Linked DNA regions of Notamacropus eugenii. The protein of the gene in region 2 interacts with the protein of the main gene of each other region in a biochemical or structural test. Links are inferred from orthologs where the notes say so. Each region holds a gene or a part of one and is shown on either strand. Other genes may lie near its edges.

Region 1 (3,600 bases), about 270 Mb from region 2:
GTTCTGTCTTGTATACCAAAGCTGTATCTAGAGATCTGGGGGCTGGGGTGACAGACGGTCATCCTGGTGCTGGGCAGCAAGGATGGGTAACAAGGGCTAAGGAGCCTGGATTCCAATGTTGCCGTTATCTTTCTCTCCCCACTGGCCAAGGGAAAACGGCACAACCTCCTGCTGGGGTCTGGGTGGAGGGTGTGTGTGGGGTGTTATCCTGTAAATGAGGGAACTGTCTCTGAAACATAGAACGGCTATGGAGGAGTGAAGAGTAGATGCTAGAAAGAGCAGGGAGTGCCCATACCCTACCACTCAGGCCTAGAGTTGTAGACCCCCTTAGGGAATGGCAAAGAAAGGAGAGATGAAAGGGCTGAAGCGGAGGAGGGGTTGTGGGGGGATGGGTCGGGAAACACCCAGATGCAATCCTGAGCTTCCAAAACTACTGCTAGCCTTCCCTCACTCTCCAGCAGGGTGCCCAGGAAGCGGTGGTGGAGGGGCACCTTCCACAGACCACCTCACCCCTCCCGCCTTCGTCCTTCCAATCAGACTCACTCTGTGTCCCAGAAGTATGTCTCTCCTGATCTCCCCCCTCCCCACGTCCCGTAAGTCTCTTTCTTCAGCAGCCTTTCCAAGAAGCGAGTGGAAGAGGGGTTCTTAGTCTTCTCTCCCCTCCCCTCCCCACCCTCTCGCCCCAGTCCCAATCTCTAGGCTCTTCTCGGACTGCTGTCCCTGAAGCTGGCGGCGCAGGAGCCGCGCTCAACTCACTGCTGCAAACTGAGAGGGGGGCAGGGAAAAGGGGTCAGCGATTAGCCAGGCAGGGTGGAGGGGTGAGGGGGAAGCGCTAGAAGGGAAGGGACAGGCAGGGAGCGCGAGTGGAGAAAGAGGGAAGGAGGAGGAAAGGGGCAGAGGGAGGAGGAGGGAGGGAAGGGGGAAGGAGAGAGGAGGAAAAGGGAGAGGAGAGGAGGAGGTGGGGAGGAGAGAGAAAAAGGCAAGAAAGGACAGGGAGGAGGAGGAGGAAAAGGAGGAGGAGGAGAGAGGTGGCGGGGGCGATGCGGGGTTCCTGACTGCCAGGCGCAGGCTAGACGAGTGCCCTCCCTTAAGAACTGGGCGGGAAGTGGCCGTGGGGACCCGGCTTAGGAAGAAGAGAGGTGGCGCTGCCGGAGGGAACCGGGAGCGGAGCTGGGGGCGGATGGGAGAAGGAGCCGGTTGTTGGCAGCAGATGTGACCGAGCTGCGGGCTGCCCGCCGGGGACGGAGCCCGAGAGCCGGGCGGGCAGTGCCTCCTTCTAAAGGAGCACCTGGCGCTCCGCTCTCTCTCCTCCCCTGCGATCCCCTGCCAGCGCCGCGATCCCCTGCCTCTCCTTACCCTGCTCTCCCCCCAATCCCTCTGGGCTCCCACTCTCAGAGGCTGGGGCTGCCTCCCTCCCCTACCCGCCACGCTACCTCGGGCTTTCCCCCGCAGCTCTCTAGCAAGCAAGCGCCCTAGCCCGAGCTTGGCCGTGCCCTTCTGGGGAATGTGCCAGTAAGCCAGGTATCCAGGGCCCCCAGAGAACCCCCAGGATGGGACGCCGCCCTCACCTCTTGGTCATCCAGGTAAGAATATGGGCGGGCAAAGAGACCCTTCCACTTGCACCAATCCCTCCCATCCCCCCCAACACCCCAGTGGTAGCGGGGGAGACCGGGAGCTGTGTGCGCAGAGGAGCGGGGGCGCAGGATTGACCCTCTCCAGCCCGGGGCCAGGGGCCCGGGCTGGTTTGGGAACGACCCAGGACTACCAAAGACGGCTTTAATGTCCCTGGGGGAAGTCAAACTCTTCAGAACGGACGGTTTTCCGGGGAAATGGGTGGGGAGGACTCAGGTTGGGGCTGGGAGAACGCTTCCCGGAATCCGCAGTGCCAAAGATTCCCTTCCTCAAGCTTCAGAGTGCCGGGGTGATTACCAAATCAGGGGTTGAGTCCCCATTTCCCCCTCCTCTACCTGCCCTCGCCCCCGCTGACCATTCTGTCTGGGTTGGGCTTCGATAGTTCAACGCTTTGGAGGTAAGGTTCTCGCCTGTTTTTTTCCTTAAACACCTTCCTTAGATTCTACCTCCTCCTTCCCCCCTTTTAGGCCGCCCAATGGCTCCTTTTCCCTTTGCAGAAATCTGCATGTCTATGGAGATAAATCTCTCCCGCTCCTCCGAGCGCTTGGATTCATAGAACAATGTTCCCCCGCCTAATTGAGGTGTCTGATGTTCGGTCCTCTTCTCCTGCTAGCCTCCTGACTGGCCGTGCTTGAGCCGGGTCCGAGAGTGGGAGCTTTTTTTTTTTTCCGCTGGAACTAGGAGCCAGAAACCGCTCGGTCTTGAGTCTAACGTCTAGCGAGGATATACCAGCTCCTAGAGTTTAGGAAAGTCACCAATAAATCCACCAATTTTTGTCTAAAGTAGTTCAGTGGCAGACAGATCACTCCCTCATCCCAAACCAGGTACCAATCTTCAATCAGGGAGGAAAGCATATTTTTAGGGTCCAGGATGGAGTCTCACACCCTGTAAACGAGTGAATTCTGGCATCTATTTTTTGTGAGGCTTATTCTCCAATGCACACACAGATAAATTACTTTAACTGATTTCTAGATTGTTTTTTGGGAGGGAGGAGTGCTTTTTATTTATGTGTATGTGTGAATCTTGAAAGTGCTGAATTTTTAAAAAATGATTGAGTGATCCCACAATGCTAAATCACCCATTTGATTTTTTTTTTTACTTTTCAAATAGTTGTTGAACCTTTGTCTTGTCTTTTGTTTCTCTGTATACACAGAGGTGTGTGAATCAAATCATCTCCTTTGAAAACTAGCAGTTTAATTCAAGTTGTCTATAACAGAATGTTTAAAAAATAATAATGAGTTTGACTGAAATAAGCCTCACTCCCCACCCCACTCCGAAAGCCCTTGTAATACAGCTTTCTTTTAACCAAGACAGTGAGAAAAGTGTTGGATTTGGATCAGAAAGAAAAACCTGGGCTCCAGTCTGGTTGTCCTATCTTTGTGGTCTCTGGCAATCAATTAAAAAAAGAATCCTACAGATATTTATTTAGCATCTACTATGGGCTAGACACTGCACTTGATATACAAGGACAGTAGTCATACAGTTCCTGGCCTCCTGGGGCTTATGGTATTGAGGGGGCAGAGAGAGGGAGAGACAACATGCATATATACATATATGTACATATGTGTACTTGGTATTATTTTATACCAGATATATAGATGGAGGAGACACTAGAAGCTGGGGGGGGGGGGGAGGGAAACTTCAGTGTGACACTTGAGTTGGGGTTTGAAAAGGAGTCAGAAAGTAAGAGGGAGTAAACCCCAGGCATGGAGGAGATAGTCCCCTCCAAAGGCACTAGAGATGGAAGGTAGAAAACTGCGAGTAAGGAACAAGAGGAGGGGCAATCTGGCTGGAGAGTGAAATTCCTGGAGGATAGTAATATGTAATGAGTCCAGATTGGGACCAGGCTGCAAAAGAGCTTTAAGTGCCAGAGTTTATATCTGACCCTGGAAGTGTAAACAGTCAGAAGAGATGGGCTGAAGTTTGAGTGTAGAAGTGACTTGGAGACTTATGCAAAGGGGAAAATCA
Region 2 (3,940 bases):
CGCTCCCACGGCCTCACCCCCACCATCCCCCGTTCCAACCCCGCCCCGCCCATCTCGGCCAATAAGCAAGGGCTGGTGGCCGGTCCGACTCCGCCCCCGGCGTGCCCGAGTTGCCCAATTAGGGCCGCCCGGAGGGTTTAACTGCTTCGCGTCCGGGTCTCTGGCCAAAGTCAACCGCCCCCTCCCCCACGGCCCCGCCCCCGTGCTCGCGCCCCCAACCTCCGTGGGCCCCGCCCGCCAGCCTGCCAAGCCGCTCTAGTCGTCGCCGGTTACCATGGCAACGGCGCCAGCGCAGGGAAATAGGAGGTGGAACTAGGAGGTGGAAGGGGGAGGCAAGTGGGTTGGGGGCGGGGGCGGGAGAGACAGACAAGACAGACAGACAGACAGACAGACAGACTAGGAGATAGAAACAAGAGATGGAAACCGGCGTCAGGGTAAATAGACTATGGGAGAGAACCAGAGGTAAAGGCCTCCACAGGGCGAGGAGCCAGTGTACTCAGCACAAGCCGAAGAGTGCTGGGACACAGCGTCCCCTGCCGGCCTCCCCTGTTCTACCCCGGAGCCCGTGGACTGGCCGGGACTACGACTCCCGACAGGGCCCAGGGCGACAGTTCTAGTGTACTTAGGGGCCTTCTACCCCAGGGACTCATGGGAGTTGGAGTCCCACCTTCACCAGCGCTGAAAAGTTTTCGAGGCAAAGAAATCTCCTGTTTTCCCCTGAGCCACCTATGTGTCCAATCTCCCTTCCTCCTCTCTGTAGGGACCCTATGGCACCAACGTTCTTGGCTGTTGGCTCAGTTCTAGATCAGAATAAAGGGAGGCTGTTTCCCTGGACTTAGTGAACATCTTACAAGCCCAGGTTTCCTCCTCTTTCTTCTCTCATGCCTATTTTCCCATGCTCTCAGAAAGGGTTTGTACCCAACACCTCAATATAGATCTTTCCTTTTGCCTGTATCTATAGGAAACATCACCAAGGGAGGCATAGGGGGAGGGAAAGAGGGGAAGGGGAGGGGGAGAGAAGGAAGCATGTCCTCAAGTGTCCCTTGTTTGCTCAGGCCTTTCCCTCCTGTGTCCCCAAAGTGCTGGCCCTGGGAAAGGGCAGAGGGGGGAAAGGGGGAAGACTGAGAGACACAGAAGGGAGAATATGGCAGGAGAAACATGAGAACAAGATGAGGGGAGGTGGGGGGGACATCAAGGACATAAAACATGGCCCTGAGACACAAAGACAAACAGAAAAAAAAAGTGGCAGAAACAGGAAAACAATGAATCCAGGATAAGATCCCCAGAGAAAGGCCCCCAAAAAATATGTGGGGGGAAAGGTAAAGGTGTGAGGTGGGATAGCAGATGCTAAGACTAAGAGGCATCCAGGCTTGGTTTCCATGAAGTCCTTCCCATATCCTGTATCTTCCTGAGGCCCAACTCTATGCCAGCATGTGCACATGAACATCCATGTGCATATGGTGGGATATGTGAGTAGCCTTCCCCCTAGATGCTGTAGCTCCCACTAAATATAACCCCTTCCCCATCCTATGACTCACCCAGACCCTGCTTCCCCCAGCCAACACTTCCTGTCCCTCCTATTCCCCACCCTCCCAGCCAGCTACCTGCCTAACCCTCTACAGAGGCATCTAACCCCCAAATCTCAGATTCTCCCATGAGGAAGCCAGGTGTCCTTCCCCCACCACCACCACCCAGGCCATTCTGCCTTTCACAGACTGGCCCCTCCACATTCAGCTTTCTCTCTGACTCCCCCAGTTTCCCCCACCGCCCCCAGTCCCCTTCTATTCTACTACTCCCCCTCATTCTGCCTACCTTCAGTTTGCCTCCATCCCAAGCCCCATTCAACTCCTTAAGGCCTAGATCCTTTCCTTGGTCTGGGGGGGGGGGGGGTCACCCTCCAAATCCAGGGTGTCCTTCACATCCCTCCCCCTTAAGAGCCTGGTTGAGCAGGTCTGGAGTTTGTCTTTCCATCTGCTTTTCTCTCCCCTCTCTCTCCTGCTGGGGACAGGAGTGAGAGCTAGAGCAAAGTGAATGGGCAAAGGCAAAGGAGGAGTGAGAACACCTGCTTGAGGGTCTCCCAAATTCATCACCCGCATGATGCCCCAAATCAGCCAATTCCTGTAAGCCCATCTCAGATTCTTAGATTTCTCCTTGTCCTAGAGTTGGGGACCCAGTGAGATAGCACCCCAAATCTTAACCTCCTCTAGATTGGTTCTTTAAAATGGTTCCCAGTCTCAGGCCTTGACCCACTGAACCTTTACTACTCCCAGTCACCCTCATACTGAGTGATCCCCCAAAATAAGTATGGCCTCAAATTGTGGTAATATTCTTCCAATGAGCTTTAAGCAATTCCCCCAAACCCAAGAGTATCTCTCGAGGCCTCTCATTCTCCCCCAAAATTGACCTAGAGTCCCTAAAATCAAGCCTGCCTTCTCCCACCCTGAAGACCCCTCCACCCCTAAAACATGAACTTCTCTTCCAGTATGAGCCAGGCTTCCCCCAAGATAAGCATCCCCCATGTCCCCCGCAAATTCCAAACTGCCAGGCTCCCCCCAAGCCACAGAACCCCCCCCACATTTGTGCTCCATATAGACACTTGGGGAATCACTCCAGGGTGCCCCATGGCTGCCTCCAGTCTTCCCTGCATTATCTATATGCCTGTGTTTCCCCAATCCGGGGAGACAAATCCTAAGCACCCTACTTCTACTGATCTTTCCCTAATGGACCCTAGGCTCCAGATAAGGCCTACCTGGTACCTCTCTACAAACTCTGTTCCCCTTAGATATCAGCCTTTTGACACCCCTTTCTCCACACCCCCCCAATATCCTGCTTACCTTGGTTGTCACGATACAGAGACAGTCCATGTTTGGGGGGCTGGACGCTGTGGCGTGTGGGGGGCTCTGACTTCATTAGGATCTCATTCCCCCTTCAGCCAACTCTCCCCCCTCCCCCCTCCGTACCCCACTTTTTTTGGGGGGGCGGGTGGGGGGAGGGGTGAGGAGGGGAGGAAGGGAGAGGGAGAAGAGAAAGAGAGGGGAAGCGTGGGAGGGAGGGGAAGAGGGGCCCCAAAAGGTGGTCCCCCGAATAGAAGGCAGAGAGCTTGGGGGGTACCCACCCCAATCTCAGGAAGGGTGGGGGCGCAAGGGGCTTGAAGCCCCAGGGGCCGGAGGCTGAGACATGAGCTGGGGTGGGAGGGGGAGGGGAAGAAGGGGTGGGAGAAGCTGGGATGGGGGGGGTCTTGAGAGAGAGGCTAGGGAGGGTCTCTCTTGGCAGCTGGGAAAGGGGGAATGGGAAGGGGGGGTTGGAGGCGGCAGCCACGGCCAAGGGAGCAAGGAGCTGAGAAGGGAAGGCGAGAGAGGAGAGAGGAAGAGGGGGGAGGAAGGGAGGGAGGGAGCAAGGGATGGGGGGGGAAGCAAGGGAGGTTAACTCCTTCAGTGCTTGGGGGAGCCCGGATACACGGGGATGAGGATGGAGATGAAGGAGGAGATGAAGGCAGAGTCACAGACACACACATACGGATGAGGACAAAGAGAGAAACATACACAGGTCACAGCCAGAAAAACAGGCACAGTCAGAGTCACGGAGACGCAAGAAGAAAGGCATAGAGATGTTGAGAGAAAAGGATGAAGGCAGAGGAAAGAAAAATAAAGTAACTGACTGGATTTCTTGGCAGGGGCAATGGTATGGTGGGGAGCACCTGTGAGTGGGAGGGGACCCTGAAATATTCTTGAGGCAAAAGGGGGGAGGAGGAGAGGGAGATAAAGAGGGATTAGGAGCAGGATTCTGAGTCCCTGGCTGCCTGCACTGGGGGAACTGATGGCCTTGGCTTCCCTTTGGGGTGGTTTTGAGGAGGCAGGGAGGAAATGTGGCTATAACCAGGACTCTGTAGGGCCAGAAATGTGACAAGCAGAAAGACTAAGGGAGGAATGTAAGAGGAAAA

The links. The genes of interacting proteins can lie anywhere in the genome.
Region 1: the proteins of DLG4 (region 2) and CRHR1 form a complex in vitro, tested with the Homo sapiens proteins (2 studies listed by BioGRID and IntAct, with this or other methods). The link is inferred for Notamacropus eugenii from reciprocal best matches to the Homo sapiens genes DLG4 and CRHR1.

The regions. Positions count from the first base shown.
Region 1 is NC_092873.1:347,228,917-347,232,516, reverse strand, and holds the start of CRHR1 (corticotropin-releasing factor receptor 1), read left to right. Parts: upstream 1-1,022; 5' UTR 1,023-1,550; coding exon 1,551-1,583; intron 1,584-3,600.
Region 2 is NC_092873.1:78,853,122-78,857,061, reverse strand, and holds the start of DLG4 (disks large homolog 4), read right to left. Parts: upstream 2,988-3,940; 5' UTR 2,865-2,987; coding exon 2,835-2,864; intron 1-2,834. UniProt on the Homo sapiens protein: Postsynaptic scaffolding protein that plays a critical role in synaptogenesis and synaptic plasticity by providing a platform for the postsynaptic clustering of crucial synaptic proteins.